Diceros bicornis minor: one gene and its partners. The protein of the gene in region 1 interacts with the protein of each later gene in a pairwise test. Links are inferred from orthologs where the notes say so. Each region holds a gene or a part of one and is shown on either strand. Other genes may lie near its edges.

Evidence for each region.
Region 2: the proteins of CCHCR1 (region 1) and CARD9 interact in binary tests that used the Homo sapiens proteins (3 or more experiments, as listed by UniProt). The link is inferred for Diceros bicornis minor from reciprocal best matches to the Homo sapiens genes CCHCR1 and CARD9.
Region 3: the proteins of CCHCR1 (region 1) and NUTM1 interact in binary tests that used the Homo sapiens proteins (3 or more experiments, as listed by UniProt). The link is inferred for Diceros bicornis minor from reciprocal best matches to the Homo sapiens genes CCHCR1 and NUTM1.
Region 4: the proteins of CCHCR1 (region 1) and CCDC102B interact in binary tests that used the Homo sapiens proteins (3 or more experiments, as listed by UniProt). The link is inferred for Diceros bicornis minor from reciprocal best matches to the Homo sapiens genes CCHCR1 and CCDC102B.

What each region holds. Positions count from the first base shown.
Region 1 is NC_080753.1:34,069,605-34,077,198, forward strand, and holds the start of CCHCR1 (coiled-coil alpha-helical rod protein 1), read left to right. Parts: upstream 1-4,536; 5' UTR 4,537-4,731; coding exon 4,732-4,881; exon of another isoform or gene 4,882-5,183; coding exon 5,184-5,250; intron 5,251-5,328; coding exon 5,329-5,542; intron 5,543-6,815; coding exon 6,816-7,113; intron 7,114-7,594. Other genes in the region: TCF19 (transcription factor 19), read right to left, coding at 354-594, 871-1,429, 2,533-2,770. UniProt on the Homo sapiens protein: May be a regulator of keratinocyte proliferation or differentiation.
Region 2 is NC_080767.1:42,451,240-42,458,844, reverse strand, and holds the start of CARD9 (caspase recruitment domain-containing protein 9), read right to left. Parts: upstream 3,023-7,605; coding exon 2,431-3,022; intron 2,327-2,430; exon of another isoform or gene 1,961-2,326; coding exon of another isoform or gene 1,831-1,960; intron 1,646-1,830; coding exon 1,341-1,645; intron 1,188-1,340; coding exon 1,008-1,187; intron 913-1,007; coding exon 769-912; intron 435-768; coding exon 309-434; intron 1-308. UniProt on the Homo sapiens protein: Adapter protein that plays a key role in innate immune response against fungi by forming signaling complexes downstream of C-type lectin receptors.
Region 3 is NC_080744.1:31,626,026-31,633,052, forward strand, and holds the start of NUTM1 (NUT family member 1), read right to left. Parts: upstream 3,037-7,027; coding exon 3,033-3,036; intron 1,776-3,032; coding exon 1,680-1,775; intron 1-1,679. Other genes in the region: NOP10 (H/ACA ribonucleoprotein complex subunit 3), read left to right, coding at 3,569-3,622, 3,912-4,052. UniProt on the Homo sapiens protein: Plays a role in the regulation of proliferation. Regulates TERT expression by modulating SP1 binding to TERT promoter binding sites.
Region 4 is NC_080755.1:58,670,664-58,678,750, reverse strand, and holds the start of CCDC102B (coiled-coil domain-containing protein 102B), read right to left. Parts: upstream 3,103-8,087; 5' UTR 3,094-3,102; coding exon 2,488-3,093; intron 858-2,487; coding exon 637-857; intron 1-636. UniProt on the Homo sapiens protein: During interphase, forms fibers at the proximal ends of centrioles to maintain centrosome cohesion. During mitosis, dissociates from the centrosome following phosphorylation to allow centrosome separation. Contributes to CROCC/rootletin filament formation.

The DNA of each region.
Region 1 (7,594 bases):
GGGGCTTACATCTTTCAAGGCATGGCCTCTGCAATTGGTTGCTCTGACCACAGACGTCCTAACGTCCATGACAAGGACCTACAGCTTGTAACAGTGGGAATTTCCAGCTCTCTGGCAACTCCCTGCAGGCAGCAATATCTTTGGTAGGAAACCATCTCTTCTGTCACCTTGGCCATGAGGGCCTGCTCCAGGCCTCCAATCGATATCCATAGCAATGGACCCTTCCCCTGTAGTCATTCCCTCCTGGGGAGGCAAGGGAAGAAGGGGCATTTCTTAGGACTCATTGGCACACCACTGTGTCCACCCGTGGCCTGGAGGTGCCAGCTCTGTCCTCTGGTGCCGTGATGGTGGCCTTAGGTCTGGATGCCTACACGACACCCTGGGCACCGGAAGTCGGCCTCCCTGGCAGCCTGGATGCTACAGCCAACACAGGCCACATGGAACCAGACGTCACAACCATCACACTGAACCCAGGCTACTGTCTCTTCTTGGGGCAGGCAGCAACAAGGGGCTGCACAGGGCTCCCCACCCCCAACTGCGGGGGGAGCAATGGGGGTGCTCACTGGGTGCTTCCGAGGACGCCCACGTCGATTTCTGAAGAAAGTGACACAAAAACCAGGGTCACTAGAAACTGTAGAAGCCTAGAACTGTCCCCTGGATAATCAAAGTGAACCTAGATAGACTCACTAGACTAATGGTGAACCTGGTTAGTAGAGCTAACCCAGGTCTTGCCATTCCAACATCTGTTCCACTCCTGTCCACCTCCCATCCCCCTCTCCCTCCCCTGAGCTGAAGGCCACCTCCCAGCCTGGGGCTCTAAAAATGAATCAAAAGGCAGTGAAATATTAAGACAAAGATCTCTCTACTTACCCACTAGGTGTAAGTGGGGTTTTCTCTACACGGAATTTCTTCCTGGGCTCTGTAAGGACTGGTGGAGGGCTCTCGGGACCCTCTCTCTCATCATCCAGTTCTGCCAACACTCGGTGAGCTGATTTCCTGCGATTCCTTGGGGGTGGGGCAGAAGGGGTGGTCCCCACTTCCCCAGGGGGAGTGGGAACAGGCAGGCTCTGTGGCCCACCCCCACTCCGGGAAAAGGTGAGGGGCTGGGGCTGGAGCTTGCTGAGGCTGCCGATGGAGTTGAGGATCAGCGTGGCTTTGGGGGCAGGGGAGAGGGTGCTGAGGGGGCGCTGTGGAGCCCCCTGGGAGGGCAGCATGGGCCGGAAACCAGCCCTGGTTCCCTCTTCTCCCCTAGACCGAGGGATGGTAATGGCAGCAAAATCTTGAGGTTTGACGCGGACTTGCTGAAACATGAAGTAGAACTCCGGGGGGCTGGTTCCTGGGGGCCCTTCAGGGCCAAAGGTCAGAAGGTCACCATCACTCAACTCTAGCCTATGACCCCTTGGGAGTCGGACATTATTGACCAAAGTCCCTGTTGATGGTGGGCAACCAGGCACAGAGAAGGACAAAACAGAAATGACCAGAGTCAGTCAGGAGGGGAGGAATCTGGCCCCATTTGATTTTCTGGGGAATATGAGGAAGAACTTGACACCTGTCATCAAATTCTCTCACATTCTAAGTACCTCAGCAGGTGATATCAGAGATTAAGCTCCTTGTGAGCTGGGAACAAGATTTACTTTTCTTATGCCCTCCCTCAGGGCACATAGAGGGAGCGGACTCCCCTCACTCTACTGAGGTCCAGTTCTCAGATATACTCACCCTCAAACAGCCCCAACTCAACAGTTACTATCAGCAAAGCTCAGCCTGTCTGGGTTCAAATCCTAGCTCCACCACTTACCAGCTATGTGACTCTGGACAAGTTAACCTCTTTGTGCCTCATTTCCCTCGCCTATAAAATGGGGATGATATTCATGCCCACCTACATTCAATGCACTTAAATCTGCCTGGTTCATAATAGTAAGCACTACATGAATGTTGGCTACCACTGTTATCCAACCCCTACCACACACCAAAATAGACCTCACAAAGACATTTTACCCAAGAGGAAACCCAGAGAGGAGAAGTAACAGGTCTGAGGGGGCCACCAGGTCTGATAGGTCTGCCACCAGCGGCCAGTGGCAGAACTCAGATGTGAAGTCAGGCCTTCTGAGGCTGGCTGTAACTATCTCCAAAGTCAAGGAGTAAGACATATGCCCAGATCATTAAAACATAATTCAACATATCATAACGGCCCTAAGACAGGAACGAGATGCCTCAGCAAATCTGGAAACTGAGTCAAGTCTTAGCTTGGATCCCAATGCCCCAGAACAACCCCACTGTGATACTTTCCTGATGATGCCCCAGGCCCTGGATCTACCTCCCAGTCCCTGTATGAGCTAAACGGGCCATCGAGGGTCAGCCCCGCAGAGTGTCTGACACTGCACATTTCTGGTAGGAAGACAGGTCTGGACTACAGCTGTCCATCAAACCTGATGGGGAGTTTGGGAGGCAGGAAGGGTCCTTGTGGAGTCCCTTAATCATTCCAGCCCAGAACTGCAACTGCCTAGGTGCAAGGCTGCCCTGCTCACTGCTCACCTTGGCTGCTATGGTCCTCCAGACTGACCCTCCAGTCATCGCCCCGGCATTCAGCGTGCAGCTCCGCGTGGACTCCAGAGATGAGGCCGGGCTCCTGCTGGGGCCGCAGGGCCACATCACACAGGTCGGCCCTGCGGCCCAAGCGATAGGTGCAGCCAGCTCCGCTTGGGGGGTGGAAGGTGTAGAGATCACCGCCCCTGCCGCCCCCTATGCGCAGCAGCTGGAAGCAGGGCAGCATGGGCGGTGCCCCCTCCGCACCACCTCTTCCACTTCAGGAATCCATCACCTTTCCCACTCCTGGGTGATGCATGGCCGGCCTAAGTTTACTTTCCGTCTGATACAAACTTGAGCTGTGCTTTGTGCAATTTCAACTTTGAGGACACTCCCTGAATGGTGCAAATTCAGAGGACAAGGAGCCTAGGCACACGATGGAAAATTGGCTGTCAAGCAGCTTTGCAACTGAAAAGTTCGGAGAAGGTCCCGGTGCAGTGCAAAAACCAACACGTCTTATGGCACCTTAGTTGAACCGGATCCTCAGGCCGCAAAATACTCGGGGAGCCTTCAATCTGTGCAAGGCAACATACATTAGGCAGCGTCTAGGGAAATACACTGTAGATGTATGTATGAGGGGGGGGTTCCTGCTCCTGTGCAATGTTAGCTTGTCACCTCAATGTAATTTGGAGAAAAGAAGCTTCTTCCTGTCAGACCTGCTTATCCAAATGGAGTAATCCTCCTGCTTGCCCGCGCCTTGCTCTTCTGGCCAATACCTCACTCATAACTAGTTAGCTTGAACCCCAGTGGGAAAGTGAATCCACTGTCATCCCCTAAAGGCAGTGCAAACGAGTCCTTACGTTCTCCAACAAAGCGGATCTAAACCTCCGCTTCTCCGGGTGGGATAAAAATAGAGCAAAGAGCTCCCGGAGATCATACAAGGCAAACCCAGTCTTTTCCCTCCCCGCCCCAGCCCAGTTTCGGATTACCGCGCGGTGCAGTGGCAGGGTCTCCCCTCCAGGCAGTGCCAGCCTCTCGGCGGCCCCGGGACCTCTCGGGCTCCGGCCGGCGCTGGCGCTCCCGCGGCTGTTTGACAGCAAGGAAGCCGGGGCCAGGAGGGGCGCGGCCTCCGCGCGCGGGCAGCGCCGACCCCGCCTTTGGAATTCCCGGGCCCGAACTTCGCGCCGAGCGAGCCCGCCCCCCGTGCCGTTCCTGATTGGCCGGCTCATTTGTGCTCCTCCTCTCCATTGGGCGGCGCGCTTGGAGGCTCTCCGATCTCCCGCCTTCCGCTTTTTCTGATTAGTTCACAAGTTTTCCCGGGTTCCCGGAGTTGGGAGGAGCCGCCGGGGCGCGGAGCTGCCCCAACGCCTTAGTTGGGCCCGGCTTCAGACACTACTGCGCCTGCGTGCACCTCTTCCCCTCCTCCTTCCGGGGTGAAACGGGCTTTAGAGCGGCCCGCCAACCTGCGCGCTTTGCGCAGGCGCGGTCAGGGGCGGAGGCCGCGCCCGGGAGCAAGGTGTAGGGGGTGTGGTCAAAGGGCAGAGGTGGGCTCTCGCGCTGGGTAAGGGGCATTCTGGAAGTGTCGGTTGGGGGCGGGAAGGGGCTGAGCTGGGGTGCGAGGGTGGGTTCAGGGGTCCATAGGGGAAGTGGGGTAAGGGGGCCGGGTAAAAGAACGGGTAAGGTGGTCGGAACAGCCTTAGAGCTCGGGGTCAAGCAGGGTGAAGACGCAAGGGTATTTGAGGGAGTGGGGGTCGGGTGGCAGAACTGAGAGCCGGCTAGAGTGCAGGGAGGCGAGAGCAGGCTATTGAGTTGAGAGATGAAGGTGCGAGTGAGGGAGCAGAGTAATTCCTTCAGGAAAAAAGCAGATTAGGATGTAGGGAGGGAGGGGAATAGAAATCCCAGATCGGCGGGGCGAAAATAGATGAATTCGGGTGGGAGGGTGGGGAGACCTTGAACACCCTCTCTATGCTCTAGGACTCTGGAGAGGGGAGGGTGGGTGACAGGAATGGAAGCTGAGAGGATAGTAGAGAGAAATTGAGAGGAAAGTTGTTGGAAGGGTTTGGATGAGATGTCAGGAAGCTGGCTTTTCTGCCAAGAGATCTAGGCTGCCTGGATTCCCAGAGGTCCTGGGGAGGCATCCTATTCTGCATGTAGCCACATTCATCTGGGCCTGGGGCCAGAGCTTTAATAGGGAAGGACCAAGGAGGCATGGCTTGGTGGTGTCTGGATGGGCTTCCCCAAGGCCTTGCTGAGCCATGGAGAGAACTCTGGAGATTGGGCTCACAACCCCTGCACTGCATACCTCCTTTCTCACCTCCGACCAGGAACGGCAGAGACTGTAGAAACTTAAGGAGGAGGGTAAAGTCACTCCCAGAATCCCCAAAGTATGAGTAAAGCCTCAGAGAGCTCCCTCTCAGCCTGTCTCAGTAAATTCCCTCCATCTCGTGGTAATTGCCATAGTTCTGTCAGGAACCAGGTTGGGTCAAGCAAGTGATCTTTGGGTATTTCCTACTTCTTTTGGGAAGTAGGAAAAGAGGAGCTAAGGGTTGGGTGGACCTGGCTTTTATTTAAGGATTATGACTTTGTTATTGTAGGGGCTTTCTCTTTGGAAGGTGGCCTGAAAGTTGAATTGGAGTGTCCTTGTTTCTCCTATTGTCCAGGGGAACATAGATGGCTGGACACTGAATCTAGAGGCTTCAAATAATGTGGAGATGTTTCGACCTTCAGGTCAGTGGGACCTGGCAAGGGGACTGGTGATTGTCTCTCCCTGGGAAGCTGACCATCTTTGTCCTTGTGATTCTTCAGGTTCCACTGGGCTGATTCCCCCATCCCACTTCCAAGCTCGGCCCCTTCCAACTGTGCCAAGAATGGCTCCCACTTGGGTCTCAGACATTCCCCTGCTCCAACCCCCAGCCCATCAAGATGTCTCAGAAAGGCGGCCAGACAACCAGAGACCTCAAGTGATCATGTGGGAACGAGGTGTTTCTGACAATGGGCAGGAGCCAGGGCAGAGAGGCAGGTAGGGATACACTGTCACTGTTTTCTTGGGCTTGCTTGCCAGTGACCCTTCTTCACTGAAATAGATTTGTTACCCTGTTTCAGCCCTTCCATAATTTGTTCATTTTTACATAAGCAACTATTGGTGTGCCTACAATGAATAAATAGTAATAAGGCAGTGTGTTAGCTGCTAGGGATGGGGATAACAAAAATGAATAAGAGAGATCTTTATCTCAAGGAATTTAAAATCCCAAGAGAGAGACTGACCAACAGCTGATTGTAATAAACATAGTATAAGGCAAGATGAAGAAGTGTGAAGGAGTGTAGCTTGTACTGTGGTATGTGGATTCATTCTGACAGAGTACATGCCATTGGAGGTAGCCATGCTATTTGTAGGTGTACTGTCTATAAAAATTCTTGATGTTTCATGTGTGTCTTTTCCCAAATGTCCTGGAATGTCATTCTGCCATTTTGCCCTAGAGTGGAATTGCAGATGGGTCTACCTTGGACCCCATCAAAGAGGAAGGAGCCCGATGATGAAAGGGGAACACTGGAGTGGGTGTCAGGAGACAGAGACTTTCTGTTGCTCATTTGGCTACCAGCTGGGGCTCCTTTGGCCAGTCACTTAATTTCTCTAGGCTCTGAAGTGACAGATCCCTGCCACTTCAAAAAAAAATTCCGTGGTTCTGGGCCTCAGTGAGTGAGCTGTGTCAAGAGCCTTGTTATACTGGTTTAAACTTTATGTGACACCAGTTGATTCTGTTCTCCAAAGGTCGGAACTTTGCAATTTATTGCTGTACTGTTCTCTCAGACTCCTCCTAACACTCAATAAATGCTTTTAACTAGCTCCTGGCCGCACCATGTTGATACTGGAAGCCTTGACTTCTCTTTCTCTGCACCTCCCTCAAACTTTTCCTTGCCCTTAAATCGGAATTCAGAAGCCTCTGTGTGTTCTTCCAACCTCTCCAATTCAGAATGTGTGGCCTGATGATGTGCACAGGCAGATGTTTAATATATCTGCCTGTATATAGGCTCTCTCTAGGGAGATCACGTTCTATGGTCTCAGCAAGCCTTTAGGTCCTGTGAGCCCAGACAGTGGACCTAATGTGCTTAGTAGGGCCTCGATGAATGACTATGGTGAGGGAAATGCAGAGATCCCCATGGCCCGGCTTCATCCCCCTCATCTCCCCACATGGGAACAGAAGGATCCTCTTCTCCTTCTGTCTCCATTTATGCCCTTGGCCACTCTCCCAGCACCAGAGACATGTCTCACCTGTGCTAATCTGTCTTTGAAGGTCCATAGAGGGGTCGCAGGCCCTGAGCCAGCAGGCTGAGCTGATCTCTCGGCAGCTGCAAGAGCTGCGGCGGCTTGAGGAGGAGGTCCGGGTCCTGCGGGAGACCTCGCTGCAGCAGAAGATGAGGCTAGAGGCCCAGGCCATGGAGCTGGAGGCTCTGGCACGGGCGGAGAAGGCCGGCCGAGCTGAGGCCGAGGGCCTGCGTGCTGCCTTGGCTGGGGCCGAGGTTGTCCGGAAGAACCTGGAAGAGGGGAACCAGCGGGAGCTGGAGGAGGTTCAGAGGCTGCACCAAGAACAGGTGAATGTGGGGGTGGAAAGGGTTTACCTTCAAAATGGTGAACTGGCAGTAGCTTCCCAGCAGAGAACAGGTATCACCCAGAAGGCCCCATGAGCAGTAGAGTAATGAGAAGATGTTTGGTGAAGGCGAAAAAACAGGTGACCTGGGAAGAGGGAGAACTTGGGTGTTTTGGGCTTACTCAGATTGCACTTTTTCCCAGGACTCGGGTGACCCGCACACCACTTGAAGCCCTCCTTCCCCTTCCAGTAGGAAGTAATCTGTCTTCCCACTTTGCTCCAGGTACCCAATTCACCTGGGAGCCTTGGTGGAGGGGTGAGAAAGTTGGGAGTGGGGTCCTAAGGAGGACTGGGAAGGGAATATTACTCAGTCAGCAACCTTTTTTTTTTGTGAGGAAGACCAGCCCTGAGCTAACATCCAACGTCAATCTTCCTCTTTTTGCTGAGAAAGATTGGCCCCGGGCTAAGATCCGTGCCCATCTTCC
Region 2 (7,605 bases), on another chromosome or scaffold:
AGAAAGCTTCCACTTTTCTAAAACAGAAACAAAATATAGATGGACATTGAGAAAAGTCCGGAAGGTCCAGCGGAAGGTGGAGTGTGGTTTTGCGGGCAGGGGGCTGGGGTGGAGGTGGGTTGGGGATCAACTTCATTACTGCTCACATTTCTAAATGAGCACGTACTGCTTCTGTCATTCAAAGACCACTTTGACAACGGCCCCTAAAGGGCTCGTTGGCAGCCCACACAAACGTGGGGACCGCCCCTCCTACTCCCTCACCCAGTGCAGGCTGTTCTTTGCCGGCGGGCGGGCGGCGAGGCGCCTACCTGGTCCCGCTCGATGGCGACCTCCTCCATCTGCTGCAGGATGGCCTCGATGCGGTCCTTGTACATCTTGGAGTCCTTCCGCAGGGCCTGGCACTGCAGCTCGAACATCTCCTTCTCCTCCATGCACTGCGGGAGACGGCAGCTAGCTAGCCCCACCGCCCGTGGCCCCTGTTCTGGCCCCCGGTCAGGCCCGGCTGGGACGAGGGGGAGGCTGCCTGAGCCCCTAGGTCCCTGCCAGCCCTGAGCTTCCAGACCAAGGCTGGCCCTGACTGCCCTGGGGGAGTGAGGGCAGGAGTGGGTGAGAAGGCCGGCCCTACGCCTCCAGAACGGGGTGCAGTAGGGACTGAGCTGAGAGCTGAGAGCCCCCCGGTTCCAGGCACTGCGTGGGCACAGGGCAGTCCCTCAGCCCACGCAGCCAGCCTGGCCCCAGGCGCGGTGTCCACCTGCCCCCGCTGCGTACCCGGGTGCGCAGGGCCTCGGCCTGGCGCAGGTCCTTGCGCAGGGAGAAGATGGTGCTGGCCTGCTCCTGGTGGTCCTGCAGCGCCTGCCTCCAGTCCTCCTCCAGCACCTGGATGTAGGGGCTGCTCTTCTCTGGCTTCCCAGCCTGCGGGTGGCGAAGGGGAGAGGGCAGCAGGGCAGCGACCTTGCTGGGGGAGGCCCACGGCCCACCTGCCCCGGCGCCCGCCCCGCAGGCCCCACCTGGACGGAGGCCTCCAGCTCCTGCACCCGGGCCTGCAGCAGGGCCTTCTCCTGCTGCAGCTCCCACAGCAGCTCCTGGCTGGGCCGCTGCTCCATGGCGTGCCTGAGCTTCAGCGTGTGCTTGCGCTCCACCTTGCAGTCGTCCTCCGCCTTCATGAGGCTGTGCCGGAGCCGGTCGATCTGCGGGACAACCCCGTCAGCGCGGCGGCCTCACCCACTGCCTGGCCCTCGACGCCTGCCAGGCCCTCTCTGCAGGACGGAGGCTCGGGGCCACGCGACTCGCCCAGGACACCGCCACGGGCCCACCCCCGCGCCCCGTGGACCGGAGGGCACCTCCAGCTGCAGGTCGCGGTTGCGCATGAGCGCGGCGCCCTTCTCCTCGCTCTGGCGGGCCAGGCGCAGGGCCAGGTCGTAGTTCTCCTCCTTGCAGCGCTTGAGCTCCCGGCCGCCGGCCTCACACTCCTCCTTGAGACGCTGCACGCGCTCCTGGTGCTTGCGCAGCAGGCTGTCCTTCACCCGCAGCTCCTTGATGAAGTCGTCCTTGGAGCTCAGCAGCGCCGTCAGGTCCTGCACCTTCTTCTGCAGCTTCATCACCTCGCTCATCAGCAGCTGCGTCAGGCCCGACTCCCCGGACGCGTCTGTAGACGGGGCCAGCGTCAGACTGTCGCCTGTCCCCCACGGCCACCCTGCCCCACCGCCTCCCAGGGCCCTGCACTGGAGGAGCAGCAACGCGTGGCTCCAGGGAATGCGGAGCCCGGCCAAGGGGTCAAGTCCAAGTGGCTGCTGCTTCTCGTCGAGGAAATGGACTGAGATGCTCACTCACCTCCCCGGCCCCTGTCCCGATGCCCGTCCAGGACAGGGGACAGCCAGGGCCAGGCACCTGTCTCCCTTTGTCTGATCTTATCATCTTGATTGAGAGGCAAGAGGACGCGAGTCCGGGGCCAGGAGAGCATTGCTTCGCCATTCCTGGGAGTGGCAGGCCCCGCCCTCTCAGGGGCAGTGTCTGTGGCCCAGGGCAGGGACAGGGGCTTTGCAGGTGGGATGGTTTTCTGGGCAGGAGGGGCTCCGATCTGTGAGTCAGCCTGTGCACCTGCACACGCCTCCGACCTGCTGCTCCCCGAGAGGTCTGGTCCCCCTTTTCTTGGGCCGCTGCTCCCTCCGCGAGTGTTCGGAGAGGAGAGCGGGACGGGAGCGATGACCAGCCCCGCTCCCACGCCGGCACCCTGCCCACGAGCAGCTCACTCACTTTCCTTGATCCCAATTTACCCGGTCGGGAGACCCGATGGGGAGGTGCCTGCTGCCCTGTCCCCATGCCACTGCCCTCCCAACATGTCTGGCTCTGCCCCATGCCGACCCCACCCCTCCATCCTGGCCCTGTGCCCCCCACGTCCCCCACCCCCATGCCCGGTGTCCCGTTCCTCACCGATGATCATGGAGAAGACACGGGTGGGCTCCTTGCCCGTGACCTTCTTGTAGAGCTGGGGGTAGTAGAGCTCCAGGCTCTCGAGGAAGGCCACGTAGCCCTTGTGGCCGGTCCGCTGCAGGATGTCCAGGAGCACGCCTGCCACCCAGAGAGGCCTGGCTGGCGCCCGGGCCTCAGCGTCCCGGGACGTGCATGGGTGCTCTGGGCCGGGGGACAAGGCTGTGCGGCCCCCGCCAGGTCTGGCCGCAGCCAAATGGGTCTGGGACGTGGACAGCCGCTGCAGGCCGGGGTCCAAGTGCCACCCGCCACCCCTTGGCTCTCCCAGAGGCCTCAGCAGTGCATGGAAGCACCACGGCCCCCGGCAAACAGGACGGGTGCAGGGGTGCCGGGGGTTTCGTCCACGTGCTTGCAGTTGGGGTTGGGGTGCACTCCGTGGGGCTGCATGGGGCTCGGCCTCCTGGGGACAAGGGTAGGGGACAAAGCCCACAGCGGCCTCTGGGCAGGCTCCTAGCCAGCTCGGGGGCGGGGCAGCACTGACCCACTTTGCGCTTGCGGATGACCAGGTTGGGGTCGCTGAGCACCTGCTCCTCATCGTCGGGGTTCAGGACCTTGCACTGCCTCAGGTAGGGCGTGATGCGCGAGGGGTCGATGACGGAGATGAGCTTCACCCGGAAGCCCTCCAGGGCGCTCCAGCACTCCTCCTCGTTCTCATAGTCCGACATGGCAGGGTCGGCCAGAGTCGGGGAGGGCGGCTGGGAGGGACACCACTCGCTGAGCTGTCAGCTGAGCTAGGCCCCAGGCCCGCCACCGAGGAGCCCAGCCAGGAACTCAGCCCAGGGGTGTTCGGGAGAGAGGTGTGCTGCCTCAGGCCCTGCCCTCCCATCTCGGCGACCTAGAGAGGGAAGCAGCAGCTGCGCAGGGACCCTGCTGCCCATCTGCTCACTGGGTGGCCCTCGGCCTCACCTGGGCCCTGCTCCCGCCCCCTGGGCCACCCTGGGCTTTCTCTCTCCCGAGTCACCCTGGTGAGTACGGGGGAAGGTGTGGAGATGCTCCAGGGGCAGGAACATCCCCTGCACCATGGCTCTCCTCTGGCCTCTGCCCGCCCCGGGAGACCCCCAAGTGTCGTGGGGCTGGCAGGGATGGCCACCTCCCACCTGTGGGGCAGGAGGAGCCATTTGTGCTGCTGCCACCCGCTGGCACGACCTCCCTGGCCGGCCAGTGCCCAGGCTGGGGCGAGAGGCACGAGGCAAGTGACCTCCCACCTGCGCAATGCTGGACCATGCTGTCTGGGGCTTCCTCATTTCCCAACTTAGCGTCTGCTCAGGTCCCCGCCCCAGCCCCTCCTCTCTTTCCGTGGCCGGCTGGTGGTGCAACAGCCTCCCAGCAGCTGCCTGGAGCTGGCCTGCTCCGAGTCAGGCTCAGCGACACTGTGCCTTTCGGGAAGGGTGACTGACCGCCCACAGGAGGGCCAGGGCCTGGGCACTAGGGGAAGGCCTGGCTGTGTCGCCCACGGCCAGCCTGGAATGCTGCTTGGGCGCCTCCTCCGGGCTCTCAGGTCCTGGGACCCAGCCGTCTCTGGCTCCTCTCCCACCTCTCAGATGAGGCCTGCTCTTGGTCACACTCTGGGGGACTGGCACGCTGGCCTTCTGACGAGGGGACCACCTACATTGGGACCAGCCACTGCTGCTGCCTTCCACCAGCAGGCGAGAAATCACTCTCTCCGGGGCTGGGCCAAGCCAGGTGGTCGTGCCTCCTCTGGGTGGTGGGGACGGAGACCCTGACTCGGCCACCTCAGACAGAGCCTTCAGCTGTGTTGGAAACTCTGGTTTCTAGCCCACAGGAGCTAGACCACATCCTAGAGATGTGGGTGACAGAAGGCCTGGTCTCTGGAGGAGGTCCTCCCACTTCCCACAGAGCTTGGCCTTCCCATCCAGCCCAGCAACAGACAAGGTGTGGAATAAAGATACCAGCAACCCGGTGGACGGTCCTGGGAACTTTCGGCCCATTCCCGCCTTTCTAGCCTAAAAGCCACGGGTCCCACGTCTGATGCCCCGCTGTTAATTCCACTGAGATGAACAAGCAGGTCTCAGTGGCCGTGAAGAGGGACAGGGCAGAAGAGTTGAGGCCACTGGGTACCCTTCTGGGCTATTTGCTCCAGGACCCGGCTCCCTGCCCCAGCAGCCCTGAGCAGAGAGCCACGGCACCTTCCCAATCACCTTTCAGAAAGGGCCCCAGACCAGCCTACCTCAGGGTCCTCGAGGGGGCACCCACACAGCTGGACGCTGGTCAGCCTGGGCCACCCCGATCAATGAGCAACAGGAGGTGCTGCTGGCGGCCAGGGGCCTGAGGGAGGGTGGAGCCCAGCGGGACGCCTGTGCACTTCCTGATGGTTCTGGGCAACTCCACAGAGGCCCAGCCGGTCCTCCCGCAGGGGGACAGTCCCTGGTGGCTGCCTTCTGATTCGCCCAGCCAGGGCGGCCCAGGAGGCGGGGCAGAGGGAAGTGGAAGTCGTCTGCTCTCAGAGGAAAGCTGCTGGGAGCCCTCCCAGCCTGCCTGGCGGCCAAGGTCCCGGGCCTGCCCTGGGGGCCCAGCCCCGGCACCCTGCACAGTGGAAGTGCGGGCGAAGGCCCACCCAGGGGCTGGGTGTGGCTGATCCACCATCCAGTCTGCTTTGGCCCAGACGCCTAAGGACTGCAGTGTGGTGTCCAAAAAGGGCATGGGGCTGGGGAGGCCCCTGCCACCTGCAAGAGGCCACAGGCCCCGGCCACATTTGCCTCACTTGGCCGCCAGCCCACTGCAGCTAGCACATCCTCCTCCCTTCCTGGGAGCATCCCCACTCTGCAGCCCTCTCCACTAGGACACGTGGGACAGTGACAGCAGGCTCCCGGGACTCCGAGGCCACTGCCTGCAGTCCCACAAGCCGGTGTCAGAATGGCAGTTGACTGCAGGACAAGGCTCCGGCCCATGGTCATGGCAGCAGTCCTCCGTGGACTACGTGGCCTCTCCCAGCCCCTGCCTCGCCGGTGTAGCCGTAGCAGTTGAGCCGAGTTGCCACCTGCCCTGCTGGATGAGGCAACAGCTCCGGGAAGGAGCTGCAGCTGGACGGGCGGGCAGGGCCTGCCCGTGCCCTGGCTCCGCCTTCCGAGGCAGCTGCCTCTCGCCTAACCGGCTCCCTTCCTGTCGGGCTCGGTCCTCAGTCCCTGGGCTTTCCTCTGCCCCTGGCCCACAGCGGTCACCTGGTCGGCCGAAACCTCAGGAGTCCTGGCACAACCAGGCAGGGTAAGTCGTGGAGGCGGCCTGGCCTTCCTGCAGGCTCCGAGAAGACAGAGGCCCAATGTCACCCTCTAGCAGGGAGCAGTCCGGAGGACCCTGGGGGAACGCGTTCTGGGGGCTCATGCCCCGGGCTAGGCGAGCAGGGAGGGGCCCGGGCTGCAGCTCTGCTCTCACGTGATGGATCGGCCACTGCTGGGCCCTCGACGACCCAACACTTCCCCGCTCGGTAAACAAGGCCGATCAAGGTGTCTTCCTCATGGCGTGTGTTTAAGAATTAAATAAAAACGTGTGTTCTCAGATTACATCAGAATTAAGCTAGAAATCAGTAACAGAGGGCCAGCCCCGTGGCTTAGCGGTTAAGTGCGCGCGCTCTGCTGCTGGCAGCCCGGGGTTCGGATCCCGGGCGCGCACCGAGGCACCACTTCTCCGGCCATGCTGAGGCCGTGTCCCACATACAGCAACTAGAAGGATGTGCAACTATGACGTACAACTATCTACTGGGGCTTTGGGGGAAATAAAAATAAATAAATAAAAATTATAAAAAAAAAAAATCAAATCAGGGGCCGGCCCGGTGGCGCAAGCGGTTAAGTGCGCGCGCTCCGCTGCGGCGGCCCGGGGTTCGCTGGTTCGGATCCCGGGCGCGCACCGACGCACTGCTTGGTAAGCCATGCTGTGGCGGCGTCCCATATAAAGTGGAGGAAGATAGGCACAGATGTTAGCCCAGGGCCGTCTTCCTCAGCAAAAAAAGAGGAGGATTGGCGGATGTTAGCACAGGGCTGATCTCCTCACAAAAAAAAAAAAAAAAAAAAAAAAAAATCAAATCAGTAACAGAAAGATATCTGGAAGATCCCTTGATATTTGGACGTTAAATAACAAACATCTCAGTAACCCGTTACCAGCAAGGTCACCACAGTGGACGGGTGTCAGCAGAGCTTCCCGACTAGATAGACTAGGAAGAAGGACCTGGCCACCCACGTAGAAACATCGGAAAGCCTGTGCATAGCAGCGGAGCATTGTCTGACGTGGCAGAAGGGGAGGAGATGGCGCAGAAAGACAGGGCAGGCTTCCCTCTGCTGTCCACGGGGTCTAGGAGCCGGAATCCACTCCACGGCACTGACAAAATAACCCATCAGTCAGATGAAGTCACAAGGAAAACTAGAAATTAGTTAACCAAGTACTGGGCACAAAGCAAAAACCAAGACCATGCACACAGGAGACTGAGTCAGCCCGTGGCAGGCGTGACCTGTGACGTCTGGGTGGGGAGAGGGGACGGGCGGCCCCGGTGACTGCTGTTGAGGCCAGGCCAGGACATGTGCTGGGCACACTTGCTCTATTTCTGTATGTTGGGAACTTTCCATAATAAGTGAAACCAAGTGGAGCAGGAAGCAAGGAGAACGAAGCCCCGGGAGCCGAGTGCCTCGATGGCTGTAACGGAAACTTGAGGCCTAGTCCTTGAGGTGGGAGCGCCGAGGGTGCTGGACTTGGTCTCAAGCCAAAGGAACGCCGTGCAGAGGCAGGCGGTGCTGGCCTGGAGCCGCCCAGCAGGGCCACTGCTACGATGGGGCACCCGGCTGTGCTGGCTCTAGGGACCCGCCTGGGTGGGCCTGTGTGGTCTACACAGCAGAGGAAGTAGGCCCACCCTTGTCCCTGCAGGGGCACCAAGAGGGCCGGCAGCCGCCTGGGAGGGCACTGGGCTGCCTTCTGCTGGAGCGTGCCCCTCAGCCCAAAGGCCAGAGCCACAGCTACCGCAAACAGGGCAAACCTCTGCTTCTCTGTCTCCTCCCCCATACCCCCAGAAAGGCCCGATCCCTCTGCACTCCGCCCAGTGTCCCAGGACAAGACCACAAGCTTGCTTTTTGACTAAAAAGTAGGCTGTTTATTTCTTCAGATATTTCGATTTGC
Region 3 (7,027 bases), on another chromosome or scaffold:
AAAAGAGGGCATGGAGTAGGAGAAAAGGAGACCAGAAGTCAGATCATCAGAGTTCCACTTTAGTCCCTGAAGAATCAGAGTTCCGATTCTCAACAGGTGAGGGAGGAGATATGGAGAGAGAACTTGTATAGTTTGCAATGTCCCCCAAGTGATCTTGATGTCCCTTACTCCCAGTTAAGAATTATTGCACTAGAGAAGCTGCAATAATTCTTGGACCTATGAGCTCATGCCCCATAACTCATTGCACCCAGCATACAGGTACACCTTTATTCCCATCCATTCCCAACACATTCAAACCACCTGAACCCTACTCCCAGCTGCTCTGTGGTCCCTGCCACCACTCACAGAAGTGTTGTTCCCAGAAGAGGATGTGTGGATTAGATGTTTGGTTCCCAGCACTTCTGTTATATAACAGCCAGGAATGACTGGAGATAAGGGTCAGGAAATGAGCAAGGGCAGGGTGGTGTGGGGAGGGAGGTTTCCAGAGCTTCAAGTAGCTGCTGGACATGTTAAAATTTGGCAATGCAGACTATCTGTGATCCTTCTGCTTGAAGTTCCTAACATCAGAAATTTAGGGCCCACTATGAACAAGGCACTGATAAGGAAGTCCAAAACACAGTACTTGCTGAGGAGGAGCTAAGCGGACTCCAGTCAAAGAGACGAAAGATAAATACACAAAACGTGTACTTAATTAATCAGGACATGTGTCTCCTAGGACTTTTAACAATAACAATAGAAGATCATCTGTCTAATTTCATGCTACTCTCCTCCCCTCTTATAAAGAATATCCCACTGGCAAACTAACAACACTCAGTTTCCGTTTCCAGACCATGAAGGAGACACGGAATATGAGCAAACTCGTCATCTCAACCACAGAGCAGAGGGCCAGGAGTACTCCACCAAGTACGGAACACAAAGAAATGGGTTTGAATGCCTGAGCTCCACAAAAGGTAGAAAAGCTGAGAGCATCTCAGGGAAGCCCCAGCTCTTGTACTGGCTGGAGTGACCCACCTCCCCTGGCCCTGGCGGAGGAATCAAGGAAAACTGCTCCCTGAACTGAGAGAGAAGCCATCTCTGGGGCTGGAAGGAGCCATGAGGCTCTGAGCAGAGGCGCTTATAGTACCTTCCAGTCTAGCTTTCGGGAGGACATTTCTCTACAGACTTGGCAACAGATAACCCCACTGAACAGTTTTCCAGCTAAGGCCTCCACCCCCCACCCCCTCAGTAAGATCCAGAATGGCCCCAGCTCAATTCTCTCAGGGCAAAATTCTAGAGCACCCTCCGGTTGCCTAAAGAAGACACAGGAACTCGAGGCTTCCCCTTGAACCTTCTCTGGGCCCCACACATACTCCTGCCCCTGCCACACAAGCATATGTTAAAAGGGTCCCTCTTCCAGAGAAGCAAGTTGTTAACTGCCATTCCTTCTCTATCATCAGCACTTTCCTCTGAGGTGCTTTGATCTGTCTCCCAGGAGGCCTTCTTCCTTCCCCAACCCCCAGTCTTAATGGCACAACCTCCTTCCCCAGCCTCCCCCAGTGAGAGGCCTTTGGTGAGGTCTCTAGTGATCTCGCATCCCTCTAGATCAGCCCAAAGAGCCTGTCCCCAAGTAAAGCATCAAATTTTAATCCTGAAGGATGTGAGCAGGTGGCAGGGACCCTCCCGCCCACCTGCAGACTTACTTCCATCTGAAGCCATCCTCTCAGGTTTGGGCGCTAACCGTGGCTGTCTGGAAGCCTCCAGAATGAGACAGTCAGGTTCAGGACCCAGAGAGTAATCTGGCTCCAGTAGAGGCACAGGGATCCAAGGAAGGGAGGGTAAAGATCAGATTAAAACAGAACTAGAATCTAGGACTCAAGGCATTCTGCAGTGGGGGAGGGGACAGCAGAATATGGGGTGGGGGGAGGGAGATACTCCACAAAGGGTTCTAGTAAGCAGTAACAAGGAATTCCCTCCAAACCAGAGTATGGCAACACAATTGTTGTGTACCTCTTTAGGGATATTTGTATATTCGTTCTCAGATTCCCAACATTATAGTTTTACATCTCAGTACCCTATACAACTCTTCACCAATATATCTAGTTCTGTGCCCTTCAATCCCATCCAGTTCTGTACCTGATTTCCCATTAATAGCAGGTTGTGGCAGACCCTTGACTTAATTCAATGTTGGCTATATTTTCTGAACCAAATTCAGAGCACATAGTCTGGTGTACTTAAGGATCAAGGGAATAGAATGTCTGAAATTAGGGTTGTCTCATAAGACCCAGGGTGTTCAATTGCTGTATGCATATCATTTCCTTGGAAAGCTGTCCTGCAGTGCCCCAACAGTCCACTTCCATCAGCTCTGCAGTCCACAGAAGGCTCAGCCTTACCCCTGGCTGAAAAGCCCCACTCTATCAAAAACTGCCATTCAGCCTAAAATTTCAAGACCAAAAAGTCCTTCCTTTTGTTTGTTAAATTATTTTGTTTTAAAATTTTGTTAAATAATTTTAATTTTTTAAATGGGTAATACATCAGCATGGTTCAAAAGTCAAACTATGCAAAATGGAATATACAGCAAGTCTCCCTCCCACTCCTTTCCTCTGGGACGGAGTTCTTTATCCCAGAGGAAACCAATATTATGTTTCTTGTGAATCCTTGCAGAGATATTTTATGCAACTACAAGTGAATACAAACTATATTCTTTAAAAAAAATAAAGTCTTTCAGTTTTTCTGGTTATAAAATTAATACATGCTCCAATGTTTTTGCTATTATACATAATACTGCAACGATCATCTTTGTAATGATATCTGGGCTCCAATTTTCGTTTTTCAAACTAGAGTCCTATAAGGAGAATTTCTACGTTCTTTTAAAAATTGGAAATACCCTTCGGAGGTACATCTTATTATGCTATTATTAGCTACTCACCACCATAAGAGCGCTGAATTTGTGGTAAAGAGACCTGAGTTTGAATCTTGGTTCGACCTCTAAAACATACTTCACCAGTTTCATAAAATAACTTCACGCTCTCCTCGCTGTACAGAATATTGAATACCCATCATGCACTCTTTACCGCCAATACTTTGAAATAGGGCGCGGGGATCGGATGTAAAAGAGAGGAGGGAAGAAAACCTTCTTCTTTCTTCCCTAAGGTAAAGGGGCTCTGGATCCTGGAGCTATTGTTTCTCCAGACACTAGAAACACACTGCCCCTGAAATGGGTGTGCATCTTGAAATAAAGACAGGATTCTATTCATCAATGTTCAACTCATATCCATCCTTACCCCCCTCTAACGCCTAGCAGCCTAGCAGTGTCGGGCACACAGGGGGCACACTCCACGCGTCTCTGAACGCCTGCAAGGTTGCAACTGGGCGCCAACGCCAGCAAAGTTGCAACTGGGTTGCAACTGGGCCAACTCTTGCACTAGGGCTCCCCCTTTTGGCCAGCTGGAGAAAGGCCTAAGTGGACTACATTTCCCGGCATGCCTAGAAAGAGACTTCCGGCTATGCAGGAAGGAAATTGACAAACACGTGAGGCGGTCTGTTGGACGGAGCTGCGCACGGAGTTGGAAGTTCTGGCTGTAGTCTGATCATGTTCCTCCAGTATTATCTCAACGAGCAGGGAGACCGGGTCTATACGCTTAAGGTGAGTAGAGGAAACAGGTTGTGAATGGGTATGGCGAGAAATGTAGGTGGGAGCAGCGGTTGAGACCAGGCACCGAGTTGCCTCCCTGGGTGAGGCGAACTAGAAAACCCAGAAGCCAGGCGTGGTAGAAGCGGGAGTGTATGACCCCTTCGTCTGTCCGTCACGTCTTCTGTCCTGTTTACCTTTTTTTGCGCGGCCCCCTCCCCATCCCAGCCTCCATCTCCCTTTAGACGCCGGTGCTTGAGTTTTCCCATCACTCCTGTACTGATGTTCTCTGTTTCTTGAGCAGAAGCTTGACCCTGTGGGACAACAGACCTGCTCGGCCCATCCTGCTCGGTTCTCCCCAGACGACAAATACTCTCGACACCGAATCACCATCAAGAAACGCTTCAAGGTGCTCATGACCCAGCAACCGCGCCCTGTCCTCTGAGAGTCCCTTAAATTTCGTGTGTCTTCTGCCGCCTGCTACCCCTCAAGAGACTTTCCGAAACCACGCTCTTCAATCTGTGAGCCTTGAGGCCTTCTGACCACCCTTGCTCTGTGGAATCCGGTCTCATCATTGCTTTTGATCATGCTTGTGTGAGGCAATCATGGTAGCATCTCCCTTAAAGGGAACAAGTTTGAATCTTCTTTTCATGTTTTCAGTCACTGCCAAGTTATTAAAATGATTTGAAGGAGCTCTTGTTTTGTATGTTGTGGGAAGAAAGAAGTGGTTTAAAAACAAAGACAAAAACGAAGGAGCTGAGAGGGAAGAGTACTCCCAAAGGTACAGCAAGTTCACTTGGAAGAAAAACTTGAGTCGCTGCTGCAGCAGGAGTCCTGCTGTGCTGTTAGTGATAGGAGGGTGTTGAGGAAGGGGAAGAAAGGTTGAGAAAGACGCGTCCACAACTGTCAGCATTCTCTGAAAAATACCCCTGTTGTCACTTAAATAATTTCTTGCCCCTTGAAATGACATTGACTCAAAATGGAAGAGTTGCTTGAAAAATAATAGCTATTTTGTAGAGGGAAGGCAGTGAATTGGAAGTCAGGAGACCAGGATTCTCCCCTCTTTGTATAACTTTGAGAAAGTCACTTAACCTGTTCAGTCTCATTTTTCTCATCATTTCTAAGTTCTCTTCCAACTCTAAAATTGATAGGGTTCAGTGGTGGATCTTAATATATCTACAGTGTTTGTGCAGCCGTTGTGAATAGCAATGCCTTTATGCATATTCACTTCCCCTCTGGAAATAATCCCAGGTTTTTTGTTCTCTCCATCAAGGAATTGTCTTTTTACATACACCTAACTTTATATTCTCTCTGGCAGCTAGCTGCTATTTGGAACTCTTCATGGATCTTAATTTAGAAGATGAAATATGAGAGATTTTGTTGTTTGTCAAGGTAGTGTGGGGGTTAATTAAAAATTTCTTATTTCTTAGTCTATTCACTTACATGGTTCTTAGTATTGGATCTGAGGGATTTTAAAGAGTTACTTTATCCTATTAAGGGGATAATCTTTGAAGAAAGGTTAAAAATTCTGCAAATGACTAGAAAAAGGATCTGCTAAGGAAGATTTCTTAAGCACCAAAGTCAGTAAATGAATTCTGCTACCAATTTTTTTAATGGTGACTGTAATTCTGTCTTTATAAGTTACCACCCCGCCAAAAAAAAAAAGAAAAAGGATTAGCATTGTTCCATGCTACCTGCTGTGTAGACTGAAATGAAAAGATTTGACCTGGAAATATTCCTAATCAAAGTAGAGGAGAAAAGGCAAACTGGTTTCAATATACCGAGGACTTTTTCTTTAAGAGACCCCCTAGGTATTAACATCTCTGAGATGTGCTCAGAAACAGTTAAGAGGTATAATATATTGGTATTAGGTAGTATATATAAATGAATGAAAATACACTGTTATGAAACAAAATTGGATATTGTAAAAAATTCAGCGTTTCTTTATAAAGGGAAAGTCTGTGAGATTTGAATGAATAGCAGGCCTGCCTGAGGAAAAAACTGATCCCTCAGGGAGGTGAATTTCTTGCTTTCTCAGGTAGGAAACCTGTCAAGAATCAAGCTTTGAGGAGGTTTACATTTTAAATGGGAATTTATTTCTCATTTTGTTACCTGGATCTTTTTAACCAGATTTTGGACTTTGTGTGTCATTTGATAAAAGGGAATATCCTGGCTCAGGTCTTAAATACTGTTTGATCTATTGCTAAGGATGATGCTGAAACATTTCCACTTGGGATGGGCAAGGACCTAGGCAAAGCTAGGACCCAGATTGTTAAATTTAAATGTCTTGACCAGGGCCGGCCCCGTGGTGTACTGGTTAAGTGTGCGCGCTCAGCTGCTGGTGGCCCAGGTTCAGATCCTGGGTGCTCACCAACGCACCGCTTGTCAAGCCATGCTGTGGGGGTGTCCCATATCAAGTGGAGGAAGATGGGCACAGATGTTAGCCCAGGGCCAGTCTTCCTCAGCAAAAAGAGGAGGATTGACATGGATGTTAGCTCAGGGCTGCTCTTCCTCATACACACACGAAAAATAATAAAATAAAATAAATGCCTTGACCAAAGCTATGGGAAATAACCTCCTAACAAAACATTGATGACTCAAAATGTATTGAACACCTTTACTCATGCATTAAATACACATGCTGAGAAAAATATTCTGATGGCAATAGTCAACAGAAAGTATCTCAATATCTTTTCCAGGTCTAATATGAAAAACATTTTCTTTAATGGAACTTAAAGTCTGACTAGAAAGTGAACATAACATTTTTTTCCAGCTATGTTGACAAAATTGTATATATTTAAGGTGTACAACTTGATTTGATAGATGTATATACTGTGAAAGACAGCATTTTTTTAAAGGACAAGAAAAAGAAATGTAGCACAAAGTGTGTATAAATTTGAGGACACAATGCTTTAGAATACACCTCAACATAAAAATTCCAGTGAGAGTCATACCTAGATATATGGCATTGGGAAGTTTGTGATTTTTAAAGAAATTTTGAATGGTATTTTCAGAGACTCTTATTAAAGAGAGAGATGGTTTTTGGGATTCTGAGGGCAAAGTGTGTCGCCTGCTTTCTGAGATGCCGCCAGAGTGAGTTTGCAACACAGCAGAACCAAGAAGGAAAAGGATGAGTTTTCTCCAGCGCACGCAGCTCAGGAACCGGCCCCCCCCCCCCCCCCCAATTCCGTTCGTGCTCCGGGCCTGCCGCGTTCAGCCCCGCCCCTCGCCCACCAGTCCCGCCGCGACCCGGGCGAGCGCATGCGCGCAGCCCTCTCCGTCGCCTCGCGGGCTGCAGAGGCTGGGCGGGGCTTCCTAGCGTTTGCGGGACGGTGCCGCCCTCAGACCGCTCCCCTACGCTTCTCTTGGGACCGTTACCCTCGAATGAGGGACGAGCGGGGAGGGAAGGGTGGGGCTGCG
Region 4 (8,087 bases), on another chromosome or scaffold:
CTTGTCATTGTTGTTTCAATAATAACCATTGTTCTGGAAATTTTGGTATAAAACCATGGATAACCAGAACATAGGCATCACTATCTATAGTTTTACAAAGGAGACAATAGCACACTCTTGGCTAACCCAATATCGTATAGCTAGACTATCTCAGAACCAAGGTGAAAATCCACGTCATTTACTCTCAACTCTACTGCTCTTTCCTCTATACCACAAATGGTCAATGAATAAAGCATCTTTTTCTGCGATCAATAACTGAAAAAATTGTGAGTTATTCATCATATTAACATATTTATTCATTTTTATTGACTCACTGAAGTTTACTAATACTGTAAACGTTAGATAATACACTGGCTATTGTAACCATATACATTAATAATTCAGATATAACTAAGGTGAATCTACCAGAGATGATGAGAACAAGGTTACAATAAAAGAATGATAAAAACTAACACGTTATAAATTACTCTTCAAAATTAAAAAAATGAATATATGTCAAACTCATTTCTTAAATATTAGTACTTAATGACTAATTATGGGCAAAATACATTATCAAATGGCCAGTTTACTAGAGGCAAGAATTTTAAGAAGTTTGAAAATCAGACTTGGTTGAGGGAGACAATGATGAGCACTCACTCTCTTTCCTTCCATAAGATTTTTTGGAACTCATCCAAATGCACCTGCAAAGCTGCCATTTCAGGTGCTTCATTCTCCAAAGGCAGATGCATTGCTTGCGGTCTTAATCCAGGTGTCACAGCACAGTTTTCAGAACCACCGTTCTTGAATAAATCAGAACAATCTAGATTCAGTTTCATCTCCTCATTTAATCTTGATGGGTCAATAATCAAACCTTCTTCCTGAAAGGAAAAAATAGAAAACAAATCTTATTGGTGAACATTTAAATCTAGTGTAGAAAAATCATGAAGAAACATATTTTTGGAAAGAAATAAATGTTATGATTCAGCATCAAAGTCATATTTTCATGTCTTGATCATTCTCTCATTGTGTTACAAGGCCAAACTTTAACTTGCATTCTTCAAGCTTTTTTTTTTCTATATTCTATCTTATTATAATAAAACACATTTCTCTGAAGTCTTTTAAAATTTTTCATTTACAGTGGAATCTAAGTTATATCTACCACAAGTCCCACACATCATGGAAAGGCTTAAAATTTTAAATGGAATTGTAGAAGAGAAAGATATGAACTGATTTTGCTTTTAGAGATGGAATTAAATAGAAAGGGGTAACAATATAAACTGATACTATTTAAAGAGATAATATGGGGGCTGCCGCGGTGGCATAGTGGTTAAGTTCGCGTGCTCCACTTCGGCAGTCTGGGGTTTCAGGTTCAGATCCTTGGCGTGGACTAACGCACCACTTGTCAGGCCATGCTGTGGCAGCGTCCCATATAACATAGAGGAAGATGGGCACAGATGTTAGCCCAGGGCCAATCTTCCTTGGCAAAAAGAGGAGGATTGGCATCGGATGTTAGCTCAGTGTTGATCTTCCTCACAAAATAAATAAATAAATAAATAAATACTGCTAAAAAAAAAAATAAAGCGATAATATGAATCCCCAAAGTTTCCCAAAGTATGTTCCACGGGTTAACCGTTAATAGTATTTACAAGGTTTAAAAAATAAAACTGGGGGTGGTGGTGTTCATGGATAAATAAGTGTTATGAACTGCTAGATTAAATGAAGTTTTTAAAAGTTTATCTTGTGCAGAATTCTCAGAAACTTCAAGATTGCAAGTATACCAAGAAATTCCAAAACTGGGTAGTGTGAAGCAATCCCTAAAAGTATTTGCCTAGGGTACCTATTTTACAAGAATTAATTGTGAGGCCAGAGTCTCAAACCTTTAGAAATGTTTCTACTACTATACGGATAATGTACTATTATTGGTAGAATTAGGGTAAATGGGGAGAAATATCTCCAAATATTTTTTCACATAAAAAAAATGCTAGGTTAATTTTTGCTAAAAATCTTAGTGATATCAGCAATATGGGCTGAATTGTGTCCCCCCAAAAAGCTCATTTGTTGAAGTGCTAACCCTCCTCCAGTACCTCAGAATGTAACTACATTTGGGGATTGGGTCTTTAAAGAGGTAATTAAGTTAAAACAAGGTGAGTAGGGTAGGCTTACTGATGGTATCTTTATAAGAAGACGAATCTTCAACACAGGTACATACAGAGCAAAGACTATGTGAAGACACAGAGAGAAGATGGCCATCTATAAGCCACGGAGAGGGGCCTCAGAAGAAACCAACTCTACTGACACCTTAATCGCAGACTTCTAGCCTCCAGAACTGTGAAAAAAAACAAATTTCTGTTGCTGCAGCCACACAGTCTGTGGTACTTAGTTATGGCATCCTAAGCACACAAATACAGTCGCCATTGGGTGTGTCATTTTCCCCTTCCTCCTCGTCACTATATAAAGCATTCAAATATGCGCATAGTCTCTGGATTCCACTGTGGGTTTTTTCCTCACCTTACTAGTTGTGTTCTCCTTTGTAGGAAATTCTCTTCTTAACAAACACTCTCTGATAGACTCACACGTTTTGGAACCCATTTGAAATTGGTCTCTTTGTGCACAGGACACTTCTATGAAACTAGGACGCTTCAGGTCTTGGGTAACTCTAGCCTCTAACACCTCCTTTTGATGTGGCAAACTTTGTTTCTTTTTCAGTGCACTCAATTCCTTCATTGTCATCTCTAATTTTATTCTGAGTTGTCTTCCTTCCTCCCTGGCACTGTTCCTTTCTGTGCGAACTTTACTCCACTTCTCTCTCCAGTTGGCAGTGCAATCTGACCACCACCGCATGGTCTTCTCCATCTGAGCAGCTCTGGCCTTGACTTCTTCAAGTTCTCGCAGGCGAAGTTCTTCACAAATATCCCATTCGTTGGTGTTGCGTGAGTGAGCACAGAGGTCGTGAGCTGCATGGGATTGTAGCCCATAAAGTGGCACACAGGAGTTACAGGTATCTCTGTGGGAGGAGGCAGGTGCTATCACGTCACAAGTTGGTTTAACTGATGACTGCTGCATCTGGAAGATTTGAGTTTCCTCAATTAGCCGATGAATAGAATCTAAATTCATATGTATGTTTTCAGGCCTAAGAAAAGACAGAAAAAAAAATCAAATAATTAATGTTTGAATTTCTTTGCAATGACAAGAACAAGACCTACATTTAAAAAAGAAAGTTGATGAAAACAATACATCTTTTCAATATTGCATATTTTCCTTTCCACTGTAACTAAAAATATAGAGGAATTTATACATTTGTAATTATCCTCAAAGAAACAGAAATTGCTTATATTAAATTTTGCCAAATAAAAATAAAATTATAAAGATGCAATTGAGGATAGAATGCAACATGAATAATTCATTTTAAGAAATCCAATGTTTTTCAGGTAATATTTATTGTAACACATATTGCCCATTAGCTACTCAATGGTCCCTTTTCCCCTGCTAATTAAAGCACAGTTTGTTCAGGTGGAATGCAGAATCTATTCATCTCTGGGAGGAAAAGCCCCCATCCCAATCCCAGGGCTCAATCATGATTGATCTCAGTCTTCCGAGATGACCTCCATTTCACTGATCATTCACTAGTCTCAAGGCAGCATAGGAGCTGGTTCTGGCTGCTGAGATGTGAGGGGAGGTCTGCCAGAGAAATTTCTCATCTAGAAAAATATGAAAACATCAGAACGAAAAACTCTTTTTCCTCTGCTTCTTCCTGCCTGAACAAAGATGAAGGCAAGTATAACAGCCACCCTGTAACATTTAAAATGGTGGAACAGAAAGATGAAAGGAGCTTGATTTAAGGATTGAGCTGCCGCATGAAACCCAGAAGGCATGCCTCTGCCTTCCCTGCTGTGCGAGAATGATGACCTATATTTATTTAAGCTCTGATTGGTGAGTTTTCTGTTACTTGCAGTCAAAATGACATTTAATTGATACATGAATTAATTTCCTACTATGGTTAATATTATGATACGTTCTAAAAATAGAATATTATGAATAAGACATGGTATTTGTCCTTAAAGATTTTATAGTCCAGTGTATGACATAAACACATATAATTTAAAAATACCTAATTCACACTGTAAAAATTATATTTATGTATGCAATCAATCTTTTCTTAGTACACATTACTTGTCAAATCAGTGTTAGCTTCCTAGGTTGTGTACAAGGTGCTCTAAGGAGCTAAAGAAGTGATCAGCTGTCTCCTAGAAATGAAAAGGCTTCACAGCCTAGATAACACTGAACACTGTCTTAGCAATTTCAACTGTTTATAAAGGAATTAAAAATTTCCATATAAATAGCAAAGATAAATTAACTGGTAAATGCAAAGCTTTCTTATCAGTATGTATATCCATTACTTTATTCATTATAGCAACATAGCTATATTAAGGATATAACAAGTAGACCTTTTCTTTAAAATAAATGCTTAAAACATGCAGGTTAATCTACAAATTAATAAAGTTCCGTGGTTGTATAAGATTACCCATTTTTATTATCAAATAAGATATTCTGGTATAAATGATCTTCGGTAACATTTTATATACTTGACATTAATTCCTCTCATTTTTTTCATTTGCTTTTATATAGTTACAGATCATAAACTGTCTCCTTATGAGCCATCCATTTAATCAACTGAAGGGGTTTCATTATACCAATAACTTACAAAATAAGTCTCTAGTCACTGAAAAAAATGACTACACAATACTAAATGTACATCACTTTCAGTTGTAGAAAAAACACATTTTAATAAGTGCTCTGTAGAGGTGCCAAACCAACTCACTCCTTATTACAACACTTATTATTATAATACAGATTCATGGTTGTAATTATTTTGGTTAGCGTTGGTATATGTCCAGTCATATTTGAATTAGTGCTGATTTGGAGTAATTATTCCCTTCATTTACTGTAATTCAGAGGGCAATGATAATATAACTGACCAAATTTCTTGGACTATCAGTAAACCAAGACCATTAAAAAAGAACAAAAGCGGGACCGGCCTGGTGGCGTAGCGGTTAAGTGTGCACACTCTGCTTTGGTGGCCCAGGGTTCGCAGGCACGGATCCCAGGCGCAGACCGATGCACCGCTTGTCAAGCCATGCTGTGGCAGCGTCCCGTATAAATCAGAGGAAGATGGGCACGGATATTAGCCCAGGGCCAATCTTCCTTGGCAAAAAGAGGAGGGTTGGAATCGGATCAGCTCAGGGCTGATCTTCCTCGGTCACACACACACAAAAAAGAACAAAAGGAACTCTTAATTAGAAGCACACCAAAAATTTTATCTACATATTCATATATATATATCTTCATTTTTCACTACTTAATGGTATTTCTTTTGGTTGCATTTCCAAATTGAAGATAGAAAATTTATTTCAGTATATTAAGCTTAAATCTATTCTTGCCATTTTTCAAAATAAATCAATATCATTAAATTGTAATGTCTTTAAAAATGTCTCATTAACTTTTATTTCACTAGTGTTTTGAAGACTCTATAATTGGATTCTGGTACACTGAGATCTTGCCTACCAATTAACTATGTATTTTTTCACATTGGACTAAACAATATTGAGCTGGGTTTAATCATTCAGTCCTTGAACTTCAATAGCATTTCCTGTTCTAAAGTGTTTCTCAAACAAGTGTAAATCAGCATATTTACTCCTCGTGTGTATGTATTAAAGCATTCATTTTCCCTACACATATGTGGGTACTCTTCATGTTTTATTTCAGGTGATTGTGAAAGTATTTGTCAATGGCTGTAGCACAAAGCCTTTGATGTATGGGAAAATATTTTAATGCTATTGACTCTTTGGTTTCTTACATTGATTTTTGCATTGTGCCTACCACAAAAGGGGGGTTACAAGAAAACTCTTGGAGGTGATGAATATGTTTATTACCTTGATTATGGTGATGGTTTCATGGGTGCATGCATATATTTAAATTCATCAGCTGTATACATTAAATATGTGCAGTGTTTTATATCAATTACACTTCAATAAAGCTGTTTTAAAAAGTTCATACAATCAGGCTACCATGATTACTACAAGTAGTTTTGAATGTAGTACATCACCAAATAAATAAAATTTGGTGGGTCTACAGTGTATAGATAACATTACTAAACCTGTTATTTCTTGCTAAAGAGGAGCTTAATGTGTAAGACATTGGGCTCCAGACTCTATTGGTTCAAGTTCTGACTCTGCCACTTTCTAGATAGATGACCTTGGACAAATTACATAAACTGCCTTTGACTCATATCCTTATTTGTAAAAGGAGGCCAAAATATCACGTATCTCACTGAGTTCTTGTGACCATTAAATGGGAAAATGCCAGCTCATCGGCTGGCCCAGGCTGTCTCTTAGGCAAGGTGACAGTTTTTCTCAGCGGTATACAAGTTACTAATATGTCACTTTGGACTATTGTACTATTTATTTTTTTGAGTTTCCTTTCTCTCTTTCAAAGAAAAAATGGTATACTTAAAAAACAGGGAGAGCGACATATAAATGAGATTTACAAAAAAGTTCTAAATTTCATGAAATAAAGGTATAATATCAATTTCTACGTCATATTAATATTATTCAGTGATATATTCAGTACTATTATCGTCTCTATCCTAGAGATGAAGAAACTAGGGCTTAGGGCTCTAATGTAACCAGCCCAAGTCATACACTTAGAAAGAGTCAACCCAGTTTGGGAATTAAAGAAATTTGAATACAGAGCCACCGCCTCTTTGTATCAAAAATCTACTTCAAAATTTCTAGCTTCAAAATATCTATTTTCACTGTAGTAAGATCACCTTTTGGATTATTTCAGAAATATATTTGGCAGACTTCCATTTCGAATAATTTTATGCTCAAATATCTCCCATTAAATCGCACCACAATTAGTCGATTGATCCTGACGTTGAGCTTTGAGTGAATTCAATCTCCTCATCAGAGCTTAAGGGAACTGTATGCAAAGTCTGGGGTTTGTCCACCCCTCCAGCCTCCTCTTCGTCATTCTGCTTCCATGTTCCATGCTTCCGCCACCCAGGTGTGTCCATTCCTTGCACAAACCTCACCTCAGTGGTCTCCTTCGTGCAATCTGATTGCTATGCAGGAGCACTCTCCCCTCTCTCCATACACCCCCCTCCTCCTAGATTCCCATTCTTCAGGTAGCAGCTAGTGGGACCTATGCTTGACCGTCCTCCATTCCTTAGAGGCCTACAGCTGAGCAGAAAATCTGCCTTTGGCCTCCTCTGTGATAGTGAACAAAACAGACATGGCTTCTGCCATCCTGGAACCTTGTTGATAACAAAAGCAATAAATCAAACTAACAATCACAAATGTTAACTGTCTTTGAAAGAAATAGTGTACATACCTACATACTTAGAGAAGTCTCTCTGAAGTGACATCATATGTATTATCTGAAGAATGAGGTGAACCAAAAATAAAAGCATTTTTGGCAGAAGTTAAACTATCAGGGCAGACTAAAACAGGGTCCAAAGGGATTTTTGTTTTATTGTTTATACTTATTGCTTTCCATTAACCTATAGGAAATGAATTCTAAATGAAACCCTGCTTGGATCTTTTTTCCCTAAGAAGCACAGGATCTCTAATGCACCCATAATGATGTAATAAAATCCATAAGCAAAGAGAAAATAGATTCATACAGATTCAGAACATGATGTTAAGGAACGGTTGTTGCTATAGATATGATGCCATATACCCCGATAAAAAGAGAAAAAATAAAGATCAGTTTTCAATATTCAGGAAAGTACCCATCATACTGTATTTTAAAATGTGGCTTGTCAAACATGCACACATGATTAGTATAAAAACTTATGCATTTTGTATGGGTCTAAAGTAGAAAAAAATAATGTCTTTTTAGGAATGTTTTGCAAGAGAATACTAAATATTAAAAGTGAAAACTGCAGTTGTGACAGGGAGGTAAGTGAAGAAATGACAGTGAGTGGCCACATGACATCACTTTGATATAGTTCAAGTTTTGCCTACAGTTAAATATTATATTTTAAAAATACACACACTGTGACAAATTATATGGATAGTTACAGTCTATGTTTGTTGATGTGAATGTGA